2 linked regions of the Kluyveromyces lactis genome follow. The protein of the gene in region 1 interacts with the protein of each later gene in a pairwise test. Links are inferred from orthologs where the notes say so. Each region holds a gene or a part of one and is shown on either strand. Other genes may lie near its edges.

Region 1 (16,518 bases):
TACAGCGCGTCACATCTCTTTTCTGCAACTTTCTTGGACGACATTTCAGTCAGTTTTGATTGTATTTATCATAGCAGTAAGCGGTTTCCTATCTGCTTATGCAGGCATATTACCAAAGGAAGGCCAGAAAATTGTATCAATGCTGAATGTCAGTTTATTGACTCCTTGCTTGATCTTTAGTAAGCTTGCCCGTTCGTTGTCCTTCGGAACTTTGATTCAGCTTTACGTGGTTCCAATATTTTATACAGCATTAGTGAGTACTTCGTATTTCAGTGCTTCACTGGTGTCAAAGATTCTTAAATTGGATGGGGATGAAACTAATTTCGTTATTGGAACGTCAGTGTTCCCGAACAGTAACTCATTACCTGTTTCTCTGATGATGTCGCTAGCATACTCGCTACCCCAACTTAAATGGCCTGAGCTTCCCAACGATTCTGGAGATAACATTGCATCCAGAGGTGTCCTTTACTTAATCATATTCCAACAAATCGATCAAACGTTGAGATGGTCATGGGGTTTAAATAAGCTATTGAGATGGTCTACTGAAATTGAGTTGAGCATTGAAGACACAATGGAACAGAATGCAGATAGATTGTTAACCAGAGGATCTGAGGACGAAGCGAACAACTTGACTAAAGTAGGCAGCAAGTTAAGATATCATTGGAATAATTTGCTATCATGTATGAATGGTCCATTGTATTCCATTATGTTTTCCATTCTCGTGGCGTCAATAAGACCATTGCAAGAGCAGCTGTTTGAATCCAACGGCTTTCTGAAAAATACACTAACGTCAGCTATAGATCAAATGGCTGATGTTTCTATCCCTTTGATTCTTGTGGTGTTGGGTGCCAATCTGTGCCCTTCATCTACAACTCCCTTGGGAACGCATAATCGCAAGAGAATAGTTTTAGCATCAATCATTTCAAGAATGATTCTACCAGCTCTTATTTTATTGCCATTGCTTGCATTTACAGTGAAAAAACTGCGAAAAAGCATATTGACCGATCCCGTATTTATATTAGTCTCATTTCTATTGACTGCATCTCCACCGGCCATTCAACTAACTCAATTGACCCAATTAAACGAGTTTTTCGAATTTGAAATTGTCAATGTGCTCTTTTGGACATACGTTGTCATGACCCTTCCGGTGACGATACTAATGGTGACAATCGCTTTGAGAGTGATGGATTGGGCAAGTCAATGAAACATACAACTCAATGCAACTGGCTTACATTCACAAATTATTAATTCATTTAACTATTTATATATTATTAAGTTAAAACTTTTGTTACAAAATTGTAGCAGCAAAACCAGTGGTTATGCAATTGACTCATATTTTTTTGGAGTCTTTGATTAGAGAACTGAAACCACTGTCAGTTTTCTTCTTTCCCAATGCTTTAGATGCAGATTTTGCATTAATAAAATTAGTATCAGATCCATCATCTGACGAATCGCTGTCACTATCACTATCACTACTATCATCGGTCCCTGACTGAAGTTCATCCTCTTCACTCAAACTAGAACTTTCGGGTTGGGGAACAGTCTTTGCAGCAGATTTTTCCTTGACTTCTGGAACCCCTCTAGAAACTAAGTCAGACAACGAGCTCAATGAGTTCCGAGATAATGTTTGTCTATTGACTTTAGTAGCTTTGGATGGAGGGGAAACTAAAACAGACTTCGCAGAAGATTTGTTTGCGGTTGGAGAAGCATATTCCATCATCTTGGTGACTGGAACCTTAATTGGGGATGAGTTGCTTTGTTGTGTTGATTGTGGGGCATTCTCCAGATCAGAAGTACCTTTGTCAATAGCGCTTTTAGAGATCGAGCCAATTAATCCCTTCGGAGTATCTACAATACCTCTACGTGTCTTTTTTGTCATAGATGTTTCATTTTCTGACGAAGTTGAGCTCTCTGAACCTGAAGAGCCGTCGGAATCTGAACTTGTATTGCTGGTTGAAGTAGAAGACAACTGAAGTTTGATAGGTTTATTAATAGTTTTCTTAGGCGGACCTGTTATGGACGCTTTCCCAACAGCGAATTTATTCCGTAGTTCGTCTAACTTTGATGCTCTTGATGGAGAGTCAGGTGACTGTACACCAGATTCAGCAGCTTTTTTTGCAGGTGTGCCGTTGGCCGAAGATTCGGTCTCTGCTCTCTCAATTACCTTGGGGGTTATATCTCCATTTTTCTTAGTTTCTTTCGGTCCTTTTTTCGTTGTAGATTCAGCTTTCTTGCGAGCAATCTCCTCTTGTCTCGCTCTTTTGGCAGCTTCTCTTTCAGCTCTCTTTCTTTCTTGCTCCTCTTGTTTTGCTCTTCTAGCAGCTTCTCTGTCGGCCCGTCTTCTTTCCTTCTCTTCCTCTTTCGCTTTTCTGGCTGCTTCTCGCTGTAATCTTCTTTGTTCTGCTTCTTGCTTCTTTTTCAATACGGATGGTGTTATTTTCTTCAGTTTGATGTCTTCGCTATTTTCTTTGTTAAAGGAGGGTTCCGTGTTTTCTTTGTTATTTTGGGATCTTTGGGATAATGTTATATTCTCATTTTCAGCATCACCATCGGAATCCTCTATGAACTCAGGGGAGATATAATCCTTTTTATTCCTAGTAGGGGAAGGCGAAAGCTGGCGATCTATCTTATCATGTAGCTGCATCGAAGGCGACGGCGTCACTTCCTTGGGTGTATCAACAGGCTTCAATGTTATTAGCCTCGAGCTAGTGACTTTGGCAGGCTGGGAAACACTCTTCATTTGGTCGACCTTACTTTCTGATTTCTGTGGATTTTCTGAACCAGCAGCTTTTCCTTCCTCATTTCCTGGTTCATCAGCACTTTCGCTTTCTTCTGAAGAGGATGATGATGAATTAGCTGAATTTGTCTTGTTAAGCTCATTTGTATCCTGAGTTTCCTCAACCGGTACCATAACTGGTCTTAATGGATGCACATTTAGTCTTTTGAGGTTGACTTCATCCATGCTATTATCACTATTTTCTGTTTCAATGTCACTATCTGAAGATGGTTCTTCACTAACGACTGCAGAAGAAGAAGAAGAAGAAGACGAAGACTGCAACGGTCTCCTTGAGGTTCCTGTAGAGATGAATTGGGCTGCTTTTTGAGCAGCCTGTCTTGGGAGCTTTGAAGGTAGGATATTTCTTGGATCAGGTTCACTATTGTCGATATCTTTGTTTAATACCGTAAGATATGGTTTTCTCGATCGTTTATTAATATCATTTTCCTGTAAAGCTCCAGCAGCTCTTCTGAAGGCCGGAGGGACATCGAATTTAGACCCCTTCAATAATTCGAGCAACTCGGATTTCTGGAAACTACCATCCATTCGGTCAGTTGGATGAATGCATACAGTATCATTGGCCTCATTTTCACTTTCTGCATTTTCAGATTCCGATTCACTGAACCCTTCTTTTCTCGTAGTATTGCTTGATAAATGGTTATCAGCTACTAGTTCTGATGCATTTTTAGCTAATTTTTCCACTTTCGCCTCCAAAGAACTTTTCCTCTGTGGTGGAAGGTCAGCTACTTTGACATTCATGCGCTTAGTAGCATCTAGAGGACTTTTCTTTGTCGGAGAACCGTTATCATCGGCAATGGATGAAGGTGCACGACTCTGCACACTAACTGGCAATGGAGCTTTTGAGTTGACTCGGACCGGAACGCTTTCTTTGTCTTCAGTAAATTCTCCTTCAGAGCTAGAGGAATCGTGCTCGTCAGGAATATACTGTTTTTTCATTGGAATTTTAGCTGACTTAGGTGGCAGAAGGCCAGCAGCTGGAGAAGAAAGACCTTCATGCATTGTTCTTTCCATCTCCGAAATCCTGGGTTCGGGAATGCGTAGCATTCCTGAAGTAATCCTTTTATTGGTGACCACCGGAGTAGAATTAATTCTTAACAAATGCTGTGCTTGCTGAGGCATTGCTAAGAAACCTGGTCTATTAGGTGTCTCTATAACGTTCATTGGTTTCATTGGAGTGCCTGATGGTAATCTTTGCTGTTTAGCTTTACTTGGATCGACTGTTTCTGATTTTGACACAGTATCTTCTGAGCCGTTAATTTTCAATCGTTTTTGCGCAATACTTGAACTTATTCTAATTGGAGGGGATTGAGGAACAGTTGGAGGTGGTAAAATGGATTTATCACCTATTTCATCATCCCCATACTCATCCTCTTCATAGTCAGAATTTACTTGTTTCGGATTTCTTTGACTCGGAGGAGGATAAATTTGGTGCGCCAAGGGTGTAGATATCCTCAATGCAGAGTTTTTTAATGCTTGCGGTCTCCTTTTTGCAACTGTTACGGGTTGATCTAATGTTGCACCTGTCGAGGTGTTTTGTTGAGAGTTCCCGTTATTCAACTTTCTTCTCTTGGAAGAGTATAATGATTCTTGCCTATCTGGATTAGATTCTAAGTCAACATCATTTCTTAAGATTACGCGAACTGTATTGTAAACATTGAACACATCTTTTACGACAAAATCAGGATCCAAATCACATTCATCTACATCTTGTAAGGTATCGATTTCTAATTCTGTTGATAAATTGGGGTAAATTTTGTTACATTTGTCTAATATTTCCTGCGAGAGCTGATATAACGTATTTGTTGGTTTCGTAAATATTAAGAATTTTTTGAGTTTCGGTCTTGTGATATGGGAGGTCATAAAACTGGAAAGATACGCTGTATTTGTTGATACATTTGGGTCTAGAGCCCCAATTCCATTCTGAGCCGGAATATTATTCGCTAATTGGGGAGCATTTCCTCCCTGTTGCAGAACCTGTTGTTGGACAGGCAGAATAAACTGAGAGGATTCTGATGATACAGAAGGTAAACCAAAATTGAAACTTCTATTAGCGCCCGCAGGCACCAACACAACTTGCAACTTAAACATTGCAAGAAAACGATCACACCTGTTTGAGTTTATAAAAATACTCTTGCGACCAGTTCAATGGAGTTGATTTCAAATTGTAACCCCAAGGACACTGCCGATAGATACAACTGTCTCGACTATTTGTTTTTGTTTTGTTCTTTGTTGATATAATTTGGTTCTCTTCATTTATGAAATGTTCAACTTTAAAATAGATAGAGGTTTTGACAGAAATGCCGCCTTCGTTTAATATGATTTGAGAAGCTAAGCGCTATTGTATTATGTACATAAGGCAAACACGTAAATATGTTAATGGTTAGTGAATAATGATATGGAGAAGACCGCAACCTGAGGGCCTGTCATTCCTAACATCAGAGATTTTAAGTAAGATTCCTTTTTTGATGGTATCGTTTATTTTCTTTTTGTATATTTTAAATATAGATGTTAATGTATCAAATAGATGAGAGCAACTTCGTCTTGAGATATCTGCATTCAGTTGGGGGGTACAAAAGAGGCGCACTGAACCTAACAATTCGAGATCGACAAATTTGAGTAATAGAATTTTTATTTTTAGTTGATAGACATTCCGTTCCCCTTCCTAGCAGGTTTATGGACCTGTCCGGCAGGTGTTTTTTTATTCTTTGCAAATGACGGCAACCTCAATGATCTCGTAGAAGGTTGTCTTTCCGTGTCATAGGTCTCGAAATTCTCAGCCATGGATTGGAAGAAAGTGTTGAAGTTTGATTGAAGTTGGGTTGATGGCATATGTGTGTAATCAGACTGAAACGTTATATTTTTATTAGCTTTAGTGGAAGCGGAAGGAGGAGATGAAACTGGGCTGTTGTCCTGATGGACTTTAACATCATACGATAGAAGGGTAGAGCCAAGCTCTCTTTTATTAAGGTCAACCATAGATCTAAGCAGAGAAAGAGCCATTGATGTTTTAAGCTCATAAGGATCAATTGGTTTCTTCAACTCTCTGGCTTCAAAAAATATCATAAGGTCAGTGGCAATAGAGTCCCAATCGATCTTCATGGTATCCCTAATGTTGAACTCTTTAAGTAGGTTTCTGACCATGAAGATATGCTGTGAGTCTTTCAATGCTTCAACTAGACGATCAGGTAAGTCCGTTAACGTATTACTGCCGTATAAAGTTGCTATTGCAGAACTCAACTTCCATTCTGAACGTGATTTCCATAAAGAATACGTATCTTCAGCGACGCAATATTCTAAAATGTAAAACGGCTTGTCATGATCGTCAGTATCATCACTATGCGAATTGGACTTTATCTTTAAGTTTCCTGTAATTGTTTCCACAGCTCTTAGTTGCAGCTGAAACACATCTTGCATCCTATGTAAATACCTTATTATCTCTTCAATTCGCGGCACGTTCTTGATTTTGGTAAGCTCGACTTTCGGCTTATTTTCACCAGCATAAACGTATATCTTATCCATTTCTCCCAATGACTCCAGTCTATTGTTATCTTCGAGTGCCACCTACAGTTATTCACCTAATTGATTACTCTCTTCTTTTTGATTACGTGTCTGTAGTGGGTTCAAGCAATCTATATTTGAATATTCACGTTGTATAATTAAAGCAAACTATGTATAAAAAACAATGGACAGTTAACGTATAATCACATGAAAACGAAATGAAGAAGTAATATAAGGACCATGGGAATGCGTGAGCAAATTGACAAAACCAAGTGTTAGCATGAGACACCCGCTAATGTCTGGGGTAAGGGGGGTGTTGGACCCCTGCTTATATGTTGTGATATTACTGAATTCTGATTATGGCTCTTCTTCGAAAAACATATGTGGTGTGCAGATTTAATGTCGAGATGTAAAATAAAAATTTTGGACGAGTCCGGAGTCGAACCGAAGACCTCTCCCATGCTAAGGGAGCGCGCTACCAACTACGCCACACGCCCGTATTAATCAGGTGTCATCCTCCTCCGTTAACCTGTCCCAAACTTCATGATGTTGCTCACGCCTCATCACCGGGTGATTTAAATTTTTTAAGGGAACTATCAGAACATTCTAAAAGTAACATCGGCGGCTAACATTTAAACATTCGAATACGTAGGTAAGATGACAAGAAGAGATTGAACAGCTCCACATATCCATTGTAGTTGCTTGCTGAAGTTTATTGCATGATGTGTGAGCTATCTTCAACTTTCAAGAATACCATCATCGAATTCGACGGTATGTCATTTTCTCTGAGAGAGCATCAATTCAACTAGATTAATCAAAGGGCAGCAACAGGCCATTTCATTCACAATCACACTACTAACACAAAGATAATTAAAGATGCGTTGAATTGGATAACAACCAAGATCAGTTCTGCGAAATGCTTGACTGAGGATGATTACCAACTTATTGAGTCTAAGATTAGAATCTTTATTCCTATCATAGATAAACATGCTAGAACTCTCAGAAGCACCAAAATATTGCTTGAAGAGGCATTGCTCTTTTCCTTGGAAGATTCTGCCACTAAATTATGGAATTCAGTTGCAATTTTGACCAAATTGGAAGGAGATGCATCTGAAAAGAGAACTATAGCAAACTGTAAATTATTCGTCTCTTTATTACTTGGTTTACACGAAGCAATTGTAATTGATCCAAAGTGCAAACTTAGATCATTTAGATGTATTTTGAATACAACGAGATATGCCATTGATTATCAAATTCAATCGGAGCTTAAAACGCAGATACAAAATTACTGTGATTCATGTTTTCAACAGCTTGAACAGTATTACGAAACATCCAACTGTTCTGGTAATGAATCTCAAGACGAATACAAAAGACTGAAAGTGGAAATGTTTATGGTGTATTTACAAAATGCAATGGAGGAATCTGACTTGAAAATGGCAAGATTTTATGAGGAAAAGGCTGAAATAGAAAAGAATGCCTGCGCGTTAGATGCAGACACAGTGATTGAGATTTGCAGAACAGTGTACAACGCAGCACTACATTTAATCGAGAATAAAAAGGCAGAGACAAACTTTTCAGATTTGGTGCATATTATGGAGAATTTAGCAAAGTACCTTACCCTAAAAGTTCCTGGTTTGGAAGTTCACCCTGATTTATTGCAGTTAAAGTACACGATACTTTTATTTGTTGCCAATTTAGCAATCGAAGACAACGCAAACACTGAACTATGTGAAAGACGTATTTCTGATATGATCAATCACTATCCTCAAAAACTTGAGTCATATAAGTTGGCAATAAAGTTTCACGAACTTCATAAGCCGGGCGACTATGTCTACTTGGAAGATATCTTAATGCAAATGCTTTCGACAATAAATGTATCAGCAAATATTGAAGGGATTATTGGATTTATTAATCATCAAGCAGAATTGGATACAGCCTCAGCGCTTCGTTGCTTGGACTATATTTTTTTCAACAAAATGAACTCCACCATTGATTCTAATGTTTTAGAGTTGTGCTTAGCAACAAGATTTTTCATAATCTCACAATCAAAAGCGCTGACTAACGACATCAAAATCAGAGATATGACACAAACACTGAATAATGTGCAAAAGATGATGACTAAAAGATTGAGCAAATCATGCGCCGCAGGTATCATCACTTTACTGTTCAATGAGGGAAAACAATTGTATAAAACAGGTAAACAAGCAGAAAGCGTAGAATGGTTCAACTTGGCGCTTAACGAATTGTTTTCTACAGAGCATATCGATACTGGGAAAATCCAGAGGGCCTTACAGTTTGCAATGGTTGATTTAGGGGATTTCGATAGCGTTGAACAGATATATTTTGAAATGAGTCCATCTGATCAACGGAATGCTTTAACCCAGTTGAACATGTTTCGGGTGTATGCTCACAGAAACGACTTCGATGGGGCGAAGAAATGTCTCGATACTCTTAAGGAATCAAACAATGACAAGTCAGTAGATGCTTTGATTATTGCAGTATCTGAATGTAAAAGATCAACCGACTGGGGAGTATACGGAATGCTTTCTATGTTCGATAAGATCCAGCATATGGAAAATAAAATTGCTCATACAAGAGGAGCCTCTGTTATCTGTTCGTTGAGGTATACAATTCAAATGTTGTTGAAAATGACAGAAAAGGACGGTATTCAAGATGTCGGGAAATATCTTCCAACTTTGCATATGTTGCTTAATAAGGGATCTGAATTCATCAAGACCGCCAAAACTTTGAAACAGTTGGCGGGAAAAGTGCAAAACCCCGGAATATATGATGAAGCAATATCAATTGATGATATAGAATGGTTTGCATCAGCTTGCTACAATTTGGTGAGGAAACTATTGAATGAAGGCAGAATAACATATCTAGATCATTTGATTTCCGATTGCAAATTATACTTGGAGTATATTCCTAAGGAGGAGTTGGATGACCATAAGAAGTTGTACTACCGTTATTGGGAGATTAGAACTGACGTCCTTTCTTTGGAACTTTTGCACCGGACATCGAACTGGATTTCTCTGAAGGAAAGTAGCCTCGCACTTATAGCACAAAACAAGGATTTCTTTAACACTTCCAAAGATAAGGAACAATCGGTGTTGACATCTGAAGAAGTACACAATACATTTATCGATATTATCGTGCGATCATTCGAAGCAGCGATGAATCTCGGAGATTTACTGCTATTGAAACACATTTTAGACGCTACTGCTACAAACCCCGACTATAAAGTCGACGAACTCGTTTGGGATGTATTCACAAATACACAAAAGATCATGTCTGACGCCTTTGCAACAGAACTTTTGAAATGCCTAATTGACAGAAATATGGGAAATACATCTATTTCGGATGATATCTTGAGTCAATGGATAAGGTCCTTACTAGAGGTCTCCCAGGGCACGGATGAACAGAACTGTTTAACAATTTTGTCACAATTTCAGATCAGAATAAAACACGCTAATAATTATTGTACTACCGAAATTGAATGGTTGACTACAGTCATTTGGAATCGAGGAATCTCTTATATAATCACTGATAATAAGTCCCAAGGTATTATGTGGTGCCAAAAAGCTCTTGAAATCTCTAAAATGAGTCCTTCAGAAGCTTTACAAAACCAGTTAAAGCAGTTCTGGTCGGAACTATCTTCGAAAATCAATCTCAGTAACATAGTTCTCAATGATTAAAACGTAACTACTTTATTCTGTCGTCATGTCAATCTAAGTTTGAATATTTAAGCAGGGGAGCCTTGAAAAGTGCGTTCTACATGACGAATGAATATGTGTCATGTGATTAACTCAGCCTTTCTGACTTCGATAATGAGCCAATCCAAAATTGACTTGAATTATTCCTTCCAAAATACGATTGTGCAAATGACTCGACAAAACCCGCCTTTTTTTAACTTGGACACTTCGTGTAAAGTGATTGCTTATGGAAGTATATCTCCGAGAAAGTATCTCCGGAAGATCATCTCCATTCAAATAGCATTGTGAGTATTTCATGCAGGTCCCAACACGGCTGTTGGCTGCATTAGTACCGTTGAGGAATGATTCATTGCGTGCAAAGGCAAGATACTTAAGTTCGAGAGGTTTAAACGTTATACCCTAACAAGGCCCTATTTTGTCAGCTCTAGGTCTGCAATTGATTGAATAATGAGTCTGATGACTGTTATGAATTAGTATGTGAAAAATTTTCCTCCAAGGTATAGAAAAAAAGCAAAAATAGTTTAATTACTACATGGATTAATTAATTCAATGTGTGGGAATCAGTGTGAAATCGTAATTGAACGTGATGAGTAATTCCAAGTGTCTCATTTTTTCACAGTAAGAAATAAAGTATATATAGAGGGTCAGATCATCTGGTAAGAATACGGTAAAATAGAACTTACCTCAACACTTCGCACTTAGCTATAGACTATCTATTCAAATCGGTTCAGTTTTGTTACTCAATACCTGTTCCTAAGCTAAAAAAACTACACCACTTACAATCAGTAAACATCCCAGCATTATGGCTTTCGGTCAACAGATCAATAATTTACAGGATTCCTTCGAGGCTGCTTTGAACTTATCCAGTTCTCCAGGTGCAGTTTCCACCTCTCCAACTCAATCCTTTATGAACACATTGCCACACAGAATCAATGCTGCAAAGCAACAGAAGGCTTTGAAGCCATTCTCTACGGGTGACATCAAGATCCTTCTTTTGGAGAATGTTAACCAAACAGCTATTGAGATTTTCAACAAGCAAGGTTATCAAGTCGAATTCCACAAATCCTCTTTACCAGAAGCCGAATTGATTGAGAAGATCAAGGATGTCCACGCCATTGGTATCAGATCCAAAACTAAGTTGACACCGGAAATTTTGAAACACGCTAAGAATTTGGTTGTCATTGGTTGTTTCTGTATTGGTACTAACCAAGTTGACCTTGACTTCGCTGCCAAGCATGGTATTGCTGTTTTCAACTCTCCATTTTCCAACTCCAGATCTGTTGCCGAACTAGTTATTGCAGAAATCATTACCCTAGCTAGACAATTAGGTGACAGATCTATTGAATTACACACCGGTACTTGGAACAAGGTTTCTGCTGCCTGTTGGGAAGTAAGAGGTAAGACTTTGGGTATCATCGGTTACGGTCATATTGGTTCTCAATTATCTGTTTTGGCTGAAGCTCTTGGTATGAACGTTCTCTACTATGATATTGTCACTATTATGAGTTTGGGTACTGCTAAGCAGGTTTCTACTTTGAATGAATTGTTGAACAATTCTGACTTTGTGACTTGTCATGTTCCAGCTACTCCAGAAACTAAAAACTTATTGTCTGGTCCTCAATTTGCTGCTATGAAGGATGGCTCATACGTTATCAACGCATCTAGAGGGACTGTGGTTGATATTCCTGCTTTGATTCAAGCAATGAGAGCGGGCAAGATTGCCGGTGCCGCTTTGGATGTGTATCCAAATGAACCTGCTAAGAATGGTGCTGGTGCCTTCAGTGATAATTTGAACACATGGACAACTGATTTGGTCTCCTTACCAAATGTTATCTTGACTCCACACATTGGTGGGTCTACTGAAGAAGCCCAAAGTTCTATTGGTATCGAAGTGGCTACTGCACTAACGAAATACATCAACGAAGGTAACACCGTCGGTGCCGTTAACTTCCCAGAAGTTTCATTAAGAGCATTAGATCTGGATCAAGAAAACACTGTACGTGTACTATATATCCATCAAAATGTTCCTGGTGTTTTGAAAACTGTCAACAACATCTTGTCCAACCACAACATCGAAAAGCAGTTCTCTGATTCTAACGGGGACATCGCATATTTGATGGCTGATATTTCAAATGTTAACCAAAGTGATATCAAACAAATATACGATGAGTTGAACGAAACTGACTACAAGATTTCAATCAGATTACTATATTAAAATGCTATGTTAGAATACTAATTCAACTTAGTTGCTTTTCACTTCAATTATAATATCGGTATAGATAAAGGATAGAACGTATAATTATATATTGTATGCATGATAATAGTGCTTCTCGATTTTGTAAATGGTGCAATATTGATCAACTGGACAACTGCGACTATCTTGCAAAGCACATTTCCTGATGGAGGTGGAGAGCATATTCTTGAAGAGGCTCTATAAAATCATTCTATACGATTAGGGTAGTTTTTGTATGGTTTCTGATTTAATTTGACAAACGGTGGCAAACTTTAGAACAGAAGCTTCAAAAGTATATAAATAAAGTCATTTACTATTCGCACCACATCTGCACATTACCAGGTTACATCGAGACTTAAGGTATTTAAAGCCGTAAACTCAACCAGAATGTCAGTTACATCTGCATTGCCGCTTTTGGCGTTATTGAAGGAATCTGACAACACTGTTAAGACTCATGCATTACAATCAATTAAAGACGTGGTAGATCAACAGTGGTCCGAGATATCAAATGATATTACCGAAATAGAAGCATTGTATGATGATGTATCCTTTCCTGATCGTAGACTAGCAGCAATTGTGGCCTCAAAAGTGTATTATAACCTTGGAGAATATCAACTAGCGGTTAAGTATGCCCTAGCTGCAGGAGAGTATTTGAATATCGATGAACAGTCGCAATATGTCGAAACGATTGTGTCACAGAGTATCGAAATGTATATTGAATTTGCTTCTAGTAACTACGAATCGGAACCTGTTGAAATTGATCCACATTTGGTTTCTATCTTTGAGAGAATGTTGAAGAAGTGTGTTTCTTCAGGGGAGTATAAACTTGCATTGGGAATCGCATTAGAAAGTTACAGACTTGATGTTGTTGAGAAGCTTCTCACTTCCCAGGACACCAGTACTAATGCCCTCAAATTGTGCTCTTACACATTGGCTGTATGTACCACTGCATTAACCAATACTCGCTTTAAATTGAGCGTATTGAAGAAGTTGTATGAAATTGTCATGAACATGCCTGCCCCAGACTACTTTATTATCTCAAAAATTATCGTACAGTTAAATGATATCGAATTTGCCAAGGAGCTCTTCTTCAAGTTAAATTCAACTAAATCATATGATGTTTCCTACCAAATCGCTTTTGACCTAGTAAACTCAGCCTCTCAGGGATTATTGAAGGATCTTTCTAATTCCTTGGACGCCAATGTATACGATCCTAAGTTACTTGAAATCCTTTCCGGTATACCCACCTGCGATTTGCAAAACACTTTTCTATTTGAGAACAAAACCATAGACAAGGCTCTTCTGAATAAGATGAAATCATCTTTGGATGGTAAATTCTCCTTATTCCACACAGCTGTGAGTGTGTCCAATGCTTTTATGCACGCAGGGACTACGGATGATAGTTTTATCAGACAAAATTTACAATGGTTAGGCAAAGCCCAAAACTGGGCCAAATTTACCGCTACTGCTTCACTAGGTGTTATTCACCAAGGCAACCTCTCAGATGGAAGAAAGATAATGGAGCCTTATTTGCCAGGAAATGGTTCAAAATCGAGGTATATCAAAGGTGGTTCATTATATGGTCTAGGTTTAATTTTTGCCGGCTACGGTAAGGAATCAACTGACTACTTAAAAGAGCAAATTCAAGCTAATAGTTCTTCCGTTGGAGAAGAGGATGTAGATGTGTTGCTACATGGTGCTTGTTTAGGTATTGGGTTGTCAGGTATGGGCTCGGACGATGTGAATGTTTGTGAGATGTTGAAAGAAGTGTTATATGGAGACTCAGCTAAATCTGGTGATGCGGCTGCTTTGGCTATTGGTTTAATTTTACTAGGTTCAGGTAACCAAACTGTTATTCAGGACTTGTTAACTTACGCAGAAGAGACTCAACACGGTAATATCACAAGAAGTTTATCGATTGCCTTAGCTCTCATAAATTACGGCAAAGAGGAACTAGCTGACGACTTGATTGATAAGTTACTAGCCAGTGAGAACGCCCTGTTACGCTATGGTGGTGCCTACACAATCGCCTTAGCCCATGCAGGGACCGGAAATAATAAGGCTGTGAAAAAACTTCTTCACGTCGCAGTCTCGGACTCCGACGACGATGTTAGAAGGGCAGCAGTCACTGCCCTAGGTTTCGTGTTAATTCGTGAATATACTACCGTCCCAAGAATCGTAGAACTTTTGTCAAAATCACATAACGCTCATGTCCGTTGTGGTACTGCGTTCGCTTTGGGTGTATCCTGCGCTGGTAGAGGCTTACAGGCAGCTGTGGATGTATTAGAACCTCTTTTGAAGGATCCAGTTGATTATGTTCGTCAAGCTGCTATGATTGCCACTTCAATGATATTGATTCAGCAGACTGAAAAAACGAATTCAAAGGTGAAGGAAGTTAATGAACAGTTCATGTCAGTAATTGGAAACAAGCACCAGGAAGGACTAGCAAAGTTCGGTGCCTGTATTGCCCAAGGTATCATGAACGCTGGTGGTAGGAATGTAACCATCGAATTGGAGAACACCGAAATGGGAACTTTGAACAGTAGATCAATAATTGGTTTAATGATGTTCTCCCAATTTTGGTACTGGTTCCCATTGTCCCACTTTTTATCGCTTTCGTTCACTCCAACTACCTTAGTGGGTTTGCGTGCTAGCGATTTGGCAATTCCTAAATTTGCTTTCAAATGTCATACGAAGGAGGGAATTTTCACCTATCCTCGCATGTACGAAGAAGAGGTGGACAAAAATATAGAAAAGTTTGCAGCTGCCGTCTTGTCAACTACCGCCAAGGCCAAGGCAAGAGCTAAGAAAGGTAAAAAAGGAGAACATGAAAAGGTTAAAGAAAAGGATGCAGAAAAAGTAAATGAAGAAAAGCAAGAGGTGGAACTGGAGGAAAAAAAGAAGGAAGAGGCCAAGAATACTGAAGAAGCTAAGATCAAATACACGACAACGAGCTATGATGTTGAAAACCTCACCCGTGTGCTTCCGCAGCAACTCAAATTCATATCTTTTGCGAAAGATAGCCGTTTTGTACCTGTTCGCAAATTCAGAGGAAACTCAGGTGTCATTATCGTTGAGGATAAGACACCTGAAGAACCACTAGAATTAATCAAGACCGTAAGACAAACAAAAGATATATATGCCCCATTACCATCTTCATTTAAAGTCGAGGATTCTCTTGAATTTTAATCGAGAAATTAGGTCCTAGCAATAGCGGTCATCCTTCATAATGTACAGTAAATAATCACCTCAAACTAAGTCGTATCTATATGCAAATAATTCAAACATGTTTTTGCAACAGTCGATACTAAGCCGGCTATAATAACAGATTATATAAGTGTTCATGTAAGTATACATATTGATAACTACTTGATGATTCAAGAAAATCTTGATAAGGCTTCATCAACAAGGTCTTTGTGATCATCAGCAAGTTCACCCTTCTTAATTTTTTCTTTTCTTTGGCGGCTAGACTTTTCCTTCTCTAGTTGTCTTTGTACCCTTAACTTCCTTTCATCCACAACATTACGAGTTTTCTTTCGTAGGAACGCACGTAATCCGGAGTTCTTACCTTTAACATCAGGTCTGGCATCAGGAATGTCTTTGTTTAGTTTGGATTTTTCTTGCTCTGCATTCGAGATAATTGCAAGATCCTTTGCATTTAATCTGACTTGAGAAGCACGAGAATCTACTGTACCTATTGTGTTTGGATTTAATGTTATAGAATCAGCAGGTAACTTATTCAATAATGATCTCACTTCTTGTTCCTGTCTCTGTTTGCTTGTTTCGTATGGGTTGGCCTCTAGTGCGTCGTAGTTGGCTTCCCCTGCGCCTGGAATAATCAAATTGGTTATACCCTTTTGATGTCCAACACCTAGCAAATCTTCGAATGGCGCAAACTGGAAGTTCTCTATTTTATTTCCAGCGAATAAATGAGACATATACGGAGTATTTCTATCTTTGTAACCGCTAGAGGTGAAATACGGTCTAGCAGCTTTCCCACTTTTCAACGTATCTTTCCAAATTGTTACATGAGGCCCTCTTGATACTGCAAGTAGACCTGTATCTGAAATTGCAACGTTAGTACCGGGCGTAGGCATGTTCTCAATACTATGTACTTCTTTAAAGTTTCTGATATCCCAAATCTTTAAAGATTTATCGGAACCAGTGGTGGCCATATAATAACCTTGTCTATCTACAGCAATTCCTGTTATTGATCCTCTAGATGATAATAGTCTTACCAGTGGTGATGGCATTGATGGTGACCATAGAGTGAC
Region 2 (15,574 bases), on another chromosome or scaffold:
ATTTCAATTTTTTTTAATTTTTAAAGTTTCTCGATTTTTCAAGCTGTCACCAAGAGGGAATTGACATTCAGAACTCCAGTAATACCGAGTCATACTGTAGTGTGGATTTTCAAGACAATATCTGATTGAGACTCTCAGTAGGTTCCGGTAGAACCTACTATCGGTTGCCCATCAATATAGCCAAGAGAGAGGTATCGCTTTTCTTCCTCTAATACTGACAGCACCGGATTGGCAAAGAGGGAAGATTTCCCGTCAGAGAAACTCTGGGGCAGCCATTGATCGCAGGTCATGTGCCTCTTATCATCTTAGTGTAGTTAGTACAAGTAGACAAGAAAGGATCTCGCGTTAAAACCGAAATTCCCATTAGCCAATGATATCCCAGGATTCGACGTGAGTGTGTCTGTATTCAGAAAAATATGTACACGGGGAAATCACGTTCCACGAAGACACAGCAGAGCTTTGCTTTAAGAGTGAAAGTCGGAAATCTTACACCATTACCCGGATACTCCGTTTGTGTCTCACTACTTTCTGAGCCGTTTTCCCACTTCTGTCAATTTTTTTTGTTATTGCACGACTTTTTCCTAATCCTGTTTCTCTTCTTAGCAGCGATAGAAAGGTAAAAAAAATATATCGTATTATTTTTTTTTTCATATTTCAATACAATTAGCACTGCAATTTACAACTCTTGTTAAGGATGGTTTATAGTTTATTGTTGATATTAATAACTTTGTTTCGATAACCTAGCGTCCAATACCACAGCAAATATTCCAATCAAAACATGTTTTCCCAAGTTACCAGACTAGCCACCAGAAGAGCCTTCTCTGCCACTTCCAAGCAATGTGGTGCCCACTTCAAGGAAGGTGTTTACTCGAACATCCCAGTTAAGATTCACAACAGAAAGATCCCATACGCTTTCATCCACTTCGGTTTCTTTGCTCTAGGTTTTGCTGTTCCATTCATCTCTTCTTACGTGCAATTGAAGAAGTTTGGTGCTTTCTAAATGAGTGGATAGAAATAAATTTCCTGCCCTCTTTGTTATATCGTATCCTTTCACAATAATTTTCGTTTTATTTTCATGTCATCATTGCTACACATTCCATCCATCTGCAAATGTCCGCACTATTGCAGCCAGCCGGCGAACATATTCTATTCTATTACTTGATGAATAATGAATAGTCAGTCCGAGGTTTAAAGAAAATACCAAGCACATCACAATAACCAAAACCAGACAGCAAAATAGAATATTACTCAACTCTTCATTTCACATTTATTTATCTCTCGAGAGTGATGTATACCTGCACTCGTCGAAATCAAAAACTAAAGCAACGGTTCGAAGCAATCTGAAGCTAAAGTTGAAATTAGTGACTTCATCGACACTTTGACGAGACTCATGCAAACAAAAAATCACAAACAGATAACAAAGGAATTAACATTATCATACTCCTGGACCGTTCGTGAGATCTAATAATAATCTTAAAAGAAAAATAGCACAAGAGATAAGTGGATTTGGAATCAAGTTTCACCGGGAGTCTTCAATCGTTTCCCTCATTTTTTTCTATCTTCCGACTATCAGCTCAAAGAAATACTATATTATCAACATGAAATACTGTCAGAAACATCATTTATTTTTATCAATATGTTTAAATTTAAACGTATAGGTCTTTAATTAACAGAAATTCAAAAAACGTCAAAATCAGCTTATTTATCAACTGACAAATATTTAATCATTTCTTAAATTTATTGTTTCTCGATTGTGCCGTGGTGTTATTCCTCGACGGGAATCCCGTTGTAGTTTGAGAAGAGTTAATCCTCATATGTGATAATATTCCCCTTGATGATATCGTTGAAGTGCTACTTCTTTTCAATTTCAATCTTTCCAATGCATTCGGTAATGCTTTCGTGACTCCTTGTCGTGAGTTTGATCTGGCGCCGAACGTGTTATTAATGTTAGAACCGCTTTTATTGTTCATTGAAATTGGTGTTGTTGGGGAATGCGGTACCAATATTGGTGCCGTTCTTCCAATTGACGTAGATTCAGCAAGAACGTGTGAAATATTTGGAGATTCGTTTCCATCATCTGAAGTTGTCCGTGAAGGTTTCAATCGGTGAGAGTTTTGTAGTTTACTGATGAACGACTCTTGATTATCACGCTCAATCCCATCCTTTGCGTTTATTAAATTTCTGGAGTCATTTCTAGTAACCATCGATATGACGTCTCTGTTGGTGTCCTTCATTCTTAATTCCTTCTTCAAAGCAGTAAACTTGTCTAATTCTTCCTTTGCCTGGTACAACAGCTGTCGTTGTCTGTTACACTTTTCCTGTAACTTCAGACACATATCTTGATAGTATTCACATAATTGCACCATTGACTCCCACTGGAAATTAGCTACTGTGTATAATGGTTCCAGTTGTGATACAAAGGGTTTAAAGAACGATTGCACTTCTGTCGGTAGTTTGGAACTATCACCATCTAACGGAAGTACTGATATTCTACTCGTCGTGCACACGGGACAAACCGTCATTCCATTATGGTAATGCTTATCACAAAGGATATGAGCACATGATGTGAGCCAGAACTTTCCATTGCTTGTTCCTTGCTGGTTGTTATACGGTTTATGGCATTGGGAACAGTTTACCCATATCTGATTCAAATCAACTGGCGGAGACATTAGACTCAAATGGGAAGAGAGGTTGTACTACTAACTTAGTTTTGGAAGTATTTAACTGAGGGTTTGGTCAGTTTCAAGAAATGATACAAACAATGGCTGTATTGTAAGAAATATACAATTAGCCGCCGAAATCAATTTCCCAAACCCAACGAGAAAAAATGTCACCCGGAAACAGAAGAAATACATCACAAACCACGTGACACTAAGGAAGTCACGTGGTGTACGGATTAATTCCCGCTATCATCTCCAGTATTGCTGACATGATCATTGGGTATATAGGAGGGAAGACGCACGCTACAAATCCAAAGCCAATGCCAAAACCAGTCCCTGACTCATGGCCGGCTCAGGCCCTGCCTTCGCGTCCTACCAAACACCCAATTCATATCACCGATTAACCACCACTACTGGAAAAGTACGAAGCTTTCGCTGTCTATCCTGAATCCCGAGTTGATCCGGTTTTTTTCTCGTCTCACAAAGCCTAACCGTCGCATTGGTAACGAAGTTCCCCACGACAAATTAGCAAAAGCGCCCCAAAACAGAGCCCAAAACGGCGACTTACTAGCAAATAAACAAATTTCGGGCAGTTTACTACCCCCAAAATTATTGCATCAATCGTGGCTCTGAAATATTACAAACCCGCTACTTCCATGTTCGGTAACCTTCTCATTGCAACTACAAAAGTACTGCGATTGCCATTGCCCTAAGTAAGTTATATGAATGACTCTTCTATCATTTCTATTATAGCTATTCGCTTTATTTTTCTATCACTGCTTTGAGAAGGATATTTTGGCTTTTAACTGTGATTAGTGATGAGGTTAAGTCTATTATATATATATGCATGTATATTTGCGTCTCTGCGCTATAAAGTTTCTGTATCCTTATAACTTTAGGTCAGGTTAAGGTTGGTATATTCGACGGTTGTTGTATACTGAGCTAAATTGAATTAGGACAGGACAGGACACTATGAAGGCCGCAGTGATGAGTATTAATCGTCAGTTTTCCAGCTCTGCTGCAACTGGGTTGCGCAAGATTAAAGTTCAGACTCCCGTTGTGGAGTTGGACGGTGATGAGATGACTAGAATTATCTGGGATAAGATTAAGAGTAAACTTATCTTACCATATTTGGATGTGGATTTGAAGTATTACGATCTTTCCGTGACGAACCGTGATGCCACTAACGATCAAGTTACTGTGGATTCTGCTAATGCCATCAAGAAATACGGTGTTGGTGTGAAATGTGCCACTATTACACCGGACGAGGGTCGTGTTAAAGAGTTCAATTTGAAAAAGATGTGGAAATCACCAAATGGTACCATCAGAAACATCCTTGGTGGTACTGTTTTCCGTGAACCAATTGTCATTCCTAGAATCCCAAGATTAGTGCCTGGATGGGAAAAACCTATTGTCATCGGTAGACATGCCCATGGTGATCAATATAAGGCCACCGATCTTGTCGTTCCAGGTCCTGGTAAGTTGGAATTGGTTTACAAGCCAACTGATGGATCCGAGACCAAGACTTTGGAAGTTTACGACTACAAGGGTCCTGGTATCGCTTTGGCCATGTACAACACAGACGAATCCATCCGTGGATTCGCTCATGCCTCTTTCAAATTGGCTATCACCAAGAAATTGAACCTTTATCTTTCCACCAAGAACACTATCTTGAAGAAATACGATGGTAGATTCAAGGATATCTTCCAGGAAATTTACGATTCCGAGTATAAATCCGAATTTGAAAAGTTGGGTATCTGGTACGAACACCGTTTAATTGACGATATGGTTGCCCAAATGATCAAATCTAAGGGTGGATTCATCCTTGCGTTTAAGAACTATGATGGTGATGTCCAATCCGATATCGTTGCTCAAGGGTTCGGGTCCCTTGGTTTGATGACCTCTGTTCTAGTGACCCCAGACGGTAAGGCCTTCGAAAGTGAAGCTGCTCACGGTACCGTCACTAGACACTACAGACAATACCAACAGGGTAAAGAAACCTCAACAAACTCCATCGCTTCCATCTTCGCTTGGACTAGAGGTTTGGCCAAGAGAGGTGAACTAGACAACACTCCAGAAGTCGTCGAATTTGCCAACTTGTTGGAAAAATCCACTTTGAACACTGTCCAAGAAGACGGTATCATGACCAAAGATTTGGCCCTTGCCTGTGGTAACACTGACAGATCAAGTTATGTGAACACCGACGAATTCTTGGATGCTGTTGAAAAGAGATTCAGAAATGACGTTAAATCTCTGCAGTGAAAATGCTTTCAAGAACAGGAGAGTACGTCGATGAATAAGATTACACACATATATGGGCTCTTTTCTTAATAGTAATATTTCTATATAAAACATATAAACGCACAAATAACTACACTAATCCCTCTCTATCCCAAATACCTATTAGAAGTTTCCTTGCAGACTACGGTAGCATAATCCTAAATTGTCGTTCGTTCTATGAATAATAGCTTCTCTTGTCGCTGTCCTAGTAATTTCATTACCCTGCCTCTGTCACATGTACCAGGCTCACACACCTCATTTTTCACCCGATGTTGTCTGTCCTTCCTCAAGTCCAAAAATCGAAAGTGGACAACATGTTCAATATTTTAACAGTTACAAAAGAGAAACATATAAAGAAACATGCCTGACAATTCTTGTAGTTAATACTTGAAGTATTGTTTTTGTTTAGTTGTATTAGAGTACCCAGTCGAGCTTTGTTAGCAAATCACACGCTGTTATATTTTCTTTGGGGAAACAGGAACCTTTTGACTGCTATTATCTATAACTAATAAAGACCGGATATATTTATACCAATTGCTCAAGAAATAAACATAAGATTATACTATAAGAAATGTCTATTGAAAACTCTGTTGTTGTTCCAGCGTACCACGAAAAGCTAAATATCAAGCCATTGACCACCAGGTTATTCCAAGCCTTGGGTAAAGAAGGTTCCAATATCACTGAATTGATCTTCGTCGATGACAATTCCCAGGACGGTTCTGTGGAAGAAGTTGAGGCTTTGAAGAAGCAAGGTTACAACGTCAGAATCATCGTCAGAACCGACGAAAGAGGTCTTTCTTCCGCTGTCTTGAAGGGTTTCCATGAAGCCAAGGGTGAATATTTGGTTTGCATGGATGCGGACTTGCAACATCCACCAGAAAGTGTTCCACAATTGTTGGATTCTTTGAGAACACATCCATTCGTGTTGGGTACCAGATACGCTGCTGGTGTCGGTATCGACAAGGACTGGCCGTTGTACCGTAGAGTCATTTCTAGTGGTGCTAGAGCTATGGCTAAACCTTTGACTTCTGCCTCTGATCCGATGAGTGGGTTCTTCGGTTTGCAAAAGAAGTACTTGATTCACAAGGATGCCAAGAATATTAATCCAAAGGGTTTCAAGATTGCCTTGGATTTGTTGGTTAAGTTGCCAATTCCTCCACAAGAACCTATTGGCGAAGTTCCTTTCTTTTTCGGTGTCAGAACTGAAGGTGAATCTAAGTTGAGTGGGAAGGTCATCATACAGTATTTGCACCAATTGAGAGAGTTATACACCTATAAATATGGTGGCAACAACCTACTGCTGTTCTTCCTATTCTGGACTATCCTAGCACTGTACATTCTGTACCAGGCTTACCACTTGGTATTCTAGTTCTTGAGATACTGAACAAGAACGAACTTTTCTTTATCATAGCAAACAATAATAAACTCTTAATAACTAAATATCCATAAAACCGTATTTCACAAGTGTTCCTAGAATATTGTTCAATGCCCAATCAACTAAAAGGTGGTTTAGCTCTAGTTTACTTTCCTTAATATCTGGGGAATAATACCACCTGACTCAAGGATGATCTTCGAGAAACATTCTCGTTCTCGTTACCCTGATGATGCATAGAAACTTTAAAGGGACGCCCATGCACAAATGATCAAAGAAGTGTAATTTAAAGGATACTAACCAATAGCAATTAATGAGGGGGGGTATGTCGAACGACAAGCAGAAGACTCAATAATCAACTCACAAGTGTTAGTTTATGGGTAAAGTACTTATAAGTTCTTTGAATCTAGGCTATCTGATTATCCGTGTGTTTGCGTTTATTCGGCTTTTAAACAAACATTGTGAGAGTGCAAAGGTTGAAGGGTAACGTGGCACTGATATGAGAGCTGTACTCTTAAGATTGAATGATAATGGTGAGCCACAAGTCAGTTGTTCTTACAACCATGGTGTGCTAACCATGCCATCGCTTCCTATTCTACCGAATAAAGCTCCAGAAGATCCATTGTACACTGTTCGTTTGGTTGTGGCAGCAGGCTGCCCCGTTGCTCGAGATGGTTTAATTTGGACTAATTGTCCCGAAAGCCATGACATCGAATTTGATAGGAACAAATTCCATAAGAAATATATCAAGGCAAGCTTCCATAAAGATGATTTTATTGATTTGAAAGTATTTAATCCGGGGTCTTATTGTTTTTACCTCTCTTATCGTAATGAACAGGACCAGTTGGAAACAACTAGGAAGTTTTATTTTGTGGTACCACCAGTCCTTTACTTGAACGATAAATTTGTTCCCTTAAATTCAATTGCCTTACAGAGTGTAGTTTCGAAATGGATGGGGAAAGATTGGGACCCAATATTTCGCAAAATCGATAACAAGGGATATAACATGATCCACTTTACACCTCTTCAACAAAGAGGAGAGTCCGATTCTCCTTATTCTATCTATGACCAATTGACCTACGACTCCAACTTTTTTAACACCGTAGAGGATGTGAAGCAAATGGTCCAAAAGTTGCATAAAACTCACAACATTCTCGCATTAACAGATGTGGTTTACAATCATACTGCTAACAACTCTCCATGGTTGTTAGAGCATCCAGAATCTGGTTACAATCACATTACTGCACCACATTTACTCCCTGCTATTGAATTAGATAAAAGTCTACTTGAATTCAGTGGTTACATGAAGGCACTTGGATATCCAACGGATATTTCATCTGTAGAAGATCTTATCTCTATTATGGATGGTATCAAAATTCATGTTTTAGGCTCTTTGAAATTATGGGAATTCTATGCAGTAAACATCGATGCTTTATTGAAAGAAGTTGCAGATCAGTGGGATTCGACTCCATTGGAAGCTATAACAGTTCCTGGTGATGTTGAAGATGACTTGGTAAAATTGGCCGGTTTCATTCGTAGCTCTTGTACTAATGATGACTTTGGTTCTTTATCCACAAGATTTGCAAATACCTTGATAATATCCAAGTTTATCACAATTTTGAGACAACTTCATGGGGAAGAATGGAATGGCAATGTTGCAAATGAAGCACGCAAAATTTTGGATGAATTGAATTTACCCTTGTACAAGGAATACGATGAGGACGTTCGCGTAATCTTAGACCAATTATACAATCGCATAAAGTATTTGCGGATTGATGATCATGGTCCAAAGATGGGAAAAATCACTCCTGAATCGCCATTAACTGAGCCTTATTTCACCAGATTGCTTGCCAAAGATGGTAAGGAATATGCATTGGCTAACAATGGCTGGATTTGGAACTCTAATCCACTAGTAGATTTTGCATCAAAGGACTCCAAGGCATACCTACGTAGAGAAGTGATTGTCTGGGGGGACTGTGTGAAATTAAGGTACGGTTCCGCACCTGAGGATTCTCCGTATTTATGGGAGAGGATGTCAGAGTATACAAGACTTCAGGCAACCATTTTTGACGGGTTTAGAATCGATAATTGTCATTCTACCCCACTTCACGTGGGCGAGTACTTCTTGGACCTGGCAAGAAAATATAATCCAAATCTTTACGTAGTCGCTGAATTGTTTTCGGGATCAGAGCAAATGGATTGTATTTTTGTAGAGAAGCTTGCAATTTCATCTTTGATAAGAGAAGCCATGCAAGCTTGGTCAGAGCAAGAACTTTCAAGTTTGATTCATAGACATGGAGGAAGACCGACTGGTTCTTATAAATTCATGCCACTTGATGATTTCCCATATAGTCCCGAATTGGAACTCGATGAAGATTTTGTTGATTATAACAACCGTTTAGGCGATGAACTTAAAAGTCTCTCCGAAATTAAGATCCCAAGATTTTTATCTGCCGCTCCACCTCATGCTTTATTCATGGATTGTACTCATGATAACGAAACTCCTTATCAAAAAAGAACTGTAGAAGATACTCTACCAAATGCCGCTCTCGTTGGATTGAGTTCTTCCGCTGTCGGGTCTGTTTATGGTTATGATGAGATATATCCTCATTTATTAGATGTTGTCAAAGAGAAACGTCAATATTCAGTGGTTAAAGATGATGGTATATCCATTGTGAAAAAGAAATTTAATGCAATTCGAGCAACCATAGCAACGCAGAGTGATGATGCAGAAGATTCCGAAATGCATGTTCACCATGATGGTCAGTTTATCACGTACCACAGAACTCATGCTAGACTCGGTGATGGCTACTACTTAATTGCGAGAACAAAATTCAGTGAGAATGATTATGATCAAAGGTTACCTACCGTCACTCTATCGGGGTCCACTGCAGAACTTCTTTTCAGTTATTCCCTAGTTAAAGATGGCGGTCTGCCTAAAGATGATGACAAGATAATCAAAGGAATCCCCACAAAATTGGTGGAATTGGATGGATTTGTTATTCAATATAATGAAAGTTTAGGTGATACCACGATCAGCTTACCACACGACTTCCCTGCAGGTTCGATTGCTGTATTCAAAACAAAACAATGCGGAGTTACCGAAGACTTAGACGAATTTATTAGAACTGGTGCTTTAAAAGCCTCTGAAAAGTTGAGTTTACATTCATTGAATGCGGTTTTGTACAGATGCAGTGCAGAAGAGTCTGATGTCAGTGCTAACAGAGGAGGTATATATACGGTGCCAGATTATGGTCCACTAGTGTATTGTGGGCTCCAAGGATGGGTGTCTGTCTTAAGAAACATCATATTTAGTAATGATCTCGCTCATCCATTAAGCAAAAACTTGAGGCTAGGTCATTGGGCTCTGGATTACGTGGTAGACCGCCTTGACTATTATAGGGAAATGCCTGGGATTTCTGAAATCCAACAGTGGCTTAAAGCAAGAATGGATCGCGTCAAGAAAGTTCCATACTACTTGGTCCCGCGTTTCTTCGCATTAGTAATTGGTATTGCATATGAGGTTTGCAGATTTAGAGCTATTTACCAGATGTCTGAGAATATTGGTCTCTCAAACCTTTTTGTGCAACGCCTTGCAATGACCTCGGTGCAAATGGTTTCTGTGATGACTTCAACATCTTTATTACCTGATCAAAATGTTTCGTGCATGGCTGCTGGTTTACCACATTTCAGTACACACAATACATGAGATGCTGGGGTAGAGACGTATTCATTTCTTTGAGAGGGTTACTTTTGGCAACAGGACGTTTTGATGAAGCAAAGAACCATCTTCTTGCTTTTGCTAAAACATTAAAGCATGGTCTCATTCCAAACCTTTTGGACGCTGGTAGAAATCCTAGATACAATGCAAGAGACGCGGCATGGTTTTTCGTTCAGTCAGTTCAAGATTATGTTCAAACGGTTCCAAATGGAGAAAGCATCTTGAAGGAAAGGGTCTCAAGAAGATTCCCTAAAGATGACCGTTACATTCAATGGACTGACCCAGAGGCTTTCAGTTACGAATCTACTATTGAAGATATTCTCTATGAAATCGTTTCGAGACATGCCAAAGGAATCAAGTATAGAGAAGCAAATGCCGGCCCAAACCTTGATAGAGTTATGAAGGATGAGGGTTTCAACGTTGAGGTGAAAGTCGACTGGACAAATGGATTAATATTTGGTGGATCACAGTCAAACTGTGGTACCTGGATGGACAAAATGGGTGAAAGTGAGCTAGCTGGCTCAGTTGGTATTCCAGGGACACCAAGAGATGGTGCTGCTATTGAAATCAACGGGTTATTAAAAAGTTGCTTGAGATTCTTAAGTGAGTTACACGAGAAGGGACTCTTTAAATACGATCATGTCGAAAAGCCCAATGGAGAAAAGGTTTCGTTAAAAGAATGGAATGATCTAGTCTTAACAAACTTCGAGATGAAATTCTACGTTCCATCTTCTGAAGATGAAGATGATCGATATGATATCGATGCCAGTTTAGTGAACAGAAGAGGAATTTATAAGGATTTGTACAGATCAGGTAAACCATACGAAGATTATCAATTGAGACCAAATTTTGCCATTGCTATGACAGTGGCGCCAGAACTTTTCACCCCTGACTATGCATACAATGCGTTGAACATTGCAGATGAAGCCCTACGGGGCCCTGTTGGAATGAGGACGTTGGATCCAACGGACTATAACTATAGACCGTACTACAGAAATTCCGAAGATTCGACAGATTTCCACACCGCGAAAGGCAGAAACTACCACCAGGGCCCAGAATGGGTATGGTGCTATGGTTACTTTTTGCGTGCATACCATCACTTCCATTTCCTCTCAAACCCATTAGCTCAAAATCCTTCAAAGACCTTGCCATCGTCGTACCTCTACCAACAGCTATACAAGAGATTAGACGGACACCGTAAATGGATTAGAGAAAGTGAATGGGCGGGATTAACAGAATTAACAAACAAAGACGGGGATATTTGTCAGGATTCATCTCCTACTCAAGCATGGAGTACTGGGTGTCTCCTAGACTTTTTCTACGATTTATGGGACCGATATGAAGATTCGCCTTAATAATTTACTTTTCTCTGCCTAACCACTTACCCTTAAGATTATAAAACAGATAAAAACAATAAAAATCATAAGAAATATATATATGTATATATATGCAAGATCATAGCCAAACTCATACTCATCATACTTATATATTATGCATTTTAAATTTACAAATAACCGAAAACTGCCCCTCCGGTTCTGTTGTCTGGAAATCTTCCTCTTAACCACAAGGAACTGTGGTTCTTTCTCCACTGTCATCCCAAATCTAACGGTTTTCGTTTGTTGATAGTAAAACAAGCCAGAGAAATCCTAAAAAATAAAATAACAAAATAGATAATAAGGAATTTGGATATAAATAATAACTACGTAAATAAGGGAAACCCCTTGAAAGTTGGAACATTGTGAGTCATTAAGCACCAGTTATTTGCCAAAGCAAGTTTTCACATAGAGAGAAAGCTTTTACAGGACAAAACGGTGGAGAGAAAGCTTTTGTAAGTGGTAGGTTCAAATGAACAGAGCGGCTTGAATAAGACATTTTTACATTTGGTTTAATATTAGAGTGAAAGAGATTAGTTGTTCTTACTGCTTTAATAACACTGACCATAAAAAAGAACAGGCAAACTTCAGGATGTCAGAAGGTGAAGTTCAGGTGATAGAACTCATAAATAACTTCTTTCTTAAGTCTGCGCTTCTACTTGAGCAGTCCAAGGTAGCACATAACTTTGATACGGAGGAGGCGCTGAGGGATGGGAATCATTTGTTTAACATTGAAACTCGCGGCGACCCTCTGTTGGAGGCTCAGATCCAGCCCTGGATCACGTTTGATGGAGTGAAGACAATGCCGCCATTAGTAATAGAAACGTACTTGGATCTACGAGCTTTGCAACCCAACCATATGGTGTATCTTCATGACGCGGATGGTAATCCATGGATGGTTTGTAAAGGGGGCAAGAAAACTGAGATTGTACTGGAAAGATGGCTTGTAGAACTTGATAAGCAGACGATAGATGACTCCATCGATTCAAATGATCCTGAAAACTTGCATAAACAATTGGTATTGTTGTTCCGCTACTTGTACACGCTTACCCAACTCTTACCTGCCAACGACATCATTACCAAGCCACACAATTCACAACAGCCCGCACTTATAAATGTTCAAACTAGACTACTTGACGGTTCTAAGCCTATTCTCTCTAAGGGGAGGGTCGGTTTAAGTAAACCTATTATTGCATCATATTCCAACACAATGAATGAAACAAACATTGCTTCACATCTAGAACAACGAAAGATTACACCGATAAAAACTACATTTGGCTCGTTGCGTATCACGGTGTCTTATAGAAAAGATGTCGACTTTTATGTTATTGATTCAGATGATTTACAAAAACGATACATGACACCATCCTTATCTAATGAAACTACCACGGTACCTGATAGAAGGGCTTCATCCAATTGTAGCAGATCTATGTCAGTTTCCCCCAAGACAAATACCATCAATGCGACGCTTTTTCCCCTAGAAGGTTCATCGGCAAGAAGGCAATCCATCTCTTCTAAACTGCAACCTTTTAAAGTTGGATCAGTTGGGAGTGGCTCGTTTGTACAGAGTGGCAGTGCCCAGTCGACTACGAGTCTTGTTCCAAGTTTATCAAGGAATGTTTCGAGTTCATCAGTGGTTGCTGCGTTGAAAGTTCAACGTGGTAGTGCCGGGTCTACTATAGTAAATGGTGATGTACCACCAGAACTTTCTAGTGTTGGTAGCGGATCGAAATATTCTTCATCTTTTGGCAGGATCCGCCGTCATTCTAGTATTAGAAGATCAGAAAGTTTTGACAGGACCGCTAAACCAAGGAAATCCACTGAAAACCCACCGGAAGATTTGTTAGAGTTTGTGAAACTCTTGGAAGACAAGAAAGAGTTGAACATGAAACCTAATACAATATTGCCGCAACAAGATATCTCAAACTCATTGATGCGATTTCAGTCCATGAAAAGTAATAACGATGCTCTTAGCGATAACCTTTCGATGAGTATGTCCATCGACCAGCCTAATGTTAGGTTTGGCTCAAATTCACATTCTCCAATACCTTCATTTTCACCAAATTATGGTTCCATTCCCTCCAGGCTATCTCAAGGTAGTAGAAACAATAGTAATGCGGAATTGATTACCAGCAGGAAAAGCTCATTGGATAGACACAAGCATAATCTATTGAGCAGAACTGGAAGCAACGTTGACATAAACAGGAGAGGTTCTGTAGGAACTATGGAAACGACTAATGAAGATTCTAAAGAGGACGAACAGTCTCACATGAAAGGAATGCACTTCAGCAATGAAGCAACCATAAATAAAGATGACGATGAGGATGAAATGTTAATGAAACGTTCATTTAACGCTGGAACATCTACTACTGAGCAGGTTATGGGGTCGCCCAGATCTATAAGAAGTATTTCTGTAAGTTCTTACCCAAGAAACCAGCTTCCATTGAAACATCTCAACCTCTCTCACCCTACAACATCGGCTACCACTACCCATGCAAAATTTCATAAGAGTGAAATGAGCCCCGACCCACTGCACACAGAAGGAGCACAACCGCATACTAGCTCGCAACATCATAATAGCTCTCAAAAAAATGATGAAGATGATGATTTGTTATTTGTTATGAGTGATATGAATCTAACCAACTAATAATGACATCAATAATTAATATTAATACAATGGTTTCACGACCTCAAACCATTCTTTCAAAAATGCATTTTATAAATAATTTATACTTGAATATATATATGTGTATATATATAGATATAAACATCACATACAAACTTCACCTGAAATTTTTTAAATCTTCCTAGCGTGGTCATTCTTAGAGGATTTTTGGTTCTCGTCCTCAAGAATCTTCATCTTTAATTCATGAATCTTGTGCTTTTCAATATGAGTATCGAATTTTTCTTTTGATTTGAATGTTCTGTTACAATTGGTATATGGACATTTTCTTTTCTGACCCACTGTATTCAATAACAATGATTTGGTTGTCTTCCCTGACTCAATATACTTCTTTATCTTTATTTCTGCTTCAACTGATCCAAGCTCGTCAACTTTCCGTTTCTTTGAGAAAGAGGGGAAATCAAGTAACGTTTTTTTCCCTGAACTAAAACTGTCCTCCGTTTCTGATATCTTTATATCTGTATTCACTTTAATATTCGTATCTTCATCAGCGTCCGTCGGCAGTAATAGCAATTCTGGATCTACATCTTTGTGACTTTCTTCATAATGTTGTACTAGCTGAGTTTTCTTCGCAAATGATGTATCTGGACATGAAGAACATTTCCAATTCTTAGTGACCAAACTCTCGTCATGAATCATCATATGATTCCGTAAACCTGATTCAGCAACACAAGGTTTCCCACAAATAGGACATGGTAATTTCGGATGGCATTGTTTAATATGTTGTTGTAAAGAAGACCAAGTGGAAAATACGTCGGTACATGAAAGAAAGTCACATTGGTACATTCCGGTAGATTCTGGGTTGTGATGCTTATCTATGTGATTCTTCAATCGATAAGGCCTTTGGAACGTCTTGTTACAGTGAGGGCAGGTAAGTTTCTTTTCGTGAACGGACAAGATATGCGATCGGAGTTGTGGATGTTTGTAGAATGATTCGTTACATCCCTCATATGAACAGTGGAAGGACTTCGTATGTGTAATTTCATGTCTCTTTAACTGTTGTCTGGTTGTGACACCTTTCCCACATATAGAACATGTGAAAGGTTTATCATCTGTATGAGAGAACATGTGTCTATTCAGATGCGATTTTTTCGCAAATTCTTTGCCACAAGTGTCGCATTTAAACGGTTTGATTCCATGATGCACGGTGAGCTGATGCTCCGTGAGCAAACTCGGTCTTGTGAACGATTTGTTACACCCTTGATAATCGCAGAAATATACTTTAGAACGCTGTGACGATGAAACTGACACAGTGCTAGTCACACTGGCCATACTCATAACACTATCCATGGACTCTGATCTGGTTAGCGGCGGTGTAGGTACACAACATTGTTGATCATCATCGTTTTCACCAACAACATTCTGCCGTACCTCATTTTCCTTATTGTATGTCGGCGCGACCATCACAGATTCATCAGTAGCTACTACAACGTTGCCTAAATAGTCCATAACTCGGTTGGGTATTCCGTGTATCGGCGTGAATCT

The links.
Region 2: the proteins of SPO22 (region 1) and CST9 interact in a two-hybrid assay, tested with the Saccharomyces cerevisiae proteins (2 studies listed by BioGRID). The link is inferred for Kluyveromyces lactis from reciprocal best matches to the Saccharomyces cerevisiae genes SPO22 and CST9.

Annotation. Positions count from the first base shown.
Region 1 is NC_006039.1:806,292-822,809, reverse strand, and holds SPO22 (Spo22p), read left to right. Parts: upstream 1-7,014; coding exon 7,015-7,066; intron 7,067-7,171; coding exon 7,172-9,993; downstream 9,994-16,518. Other genes in the region: KLLA0_C09416g (uncharacterized protein), read left to right, coding at 1-1,204; KLLA0_C09394g (uncharacterized protein), read right to left, coding at 1,331-4,885; chromatin-associated RNAPIII regulator FPT1, read right to left, coding at 5,432-6,316; KLLA0_C09306g (uncharacterized protein), read left to right, coding at 10,814-12,226; proteasome regulatory particle base subunit RPN2, read left to right, coding at 12,632-15,433; UTP7 (Utp7p), read right to left, coding at 15,622-16,518. UniProt on the Saccharomyces cerevisiae protein: Involved in chromosome segregation during sporulation.
Region 2 is NC_006038.1:299,812-315,385, forward strand, and holds CST9 (SUMO ligase CST9), read right to left. Parts: upstream 2,670-15,574; coding exon 1,725-2,669; downstream 1-1,724. Other genes in the region: COX8 (cytochrome c oxidase subunit VIII), read left to right, coding at 779-1,000; isocitrate dehydrogenase (NADP(+)) IDP1, read left to right, coding at 3,633-4,922; DPM1 (dolichyl-phosphate beta-D-mannosyltransferase), read left to right, coding at 5,512-6,309; serine/threonine protein kinase regulatory subunit ATG13, read left to right, coding at 11,999-14,053; PZF1 (Pzf1p), read right to left, coding at 14,204-15,574. UniProt on the Saccharomyces cerevisiae protein: Component of the synapsis initiation complex (SIC) necessary for the synaptonemal complex assembly. Stabilizes the ZIP2 component to the chromosomes.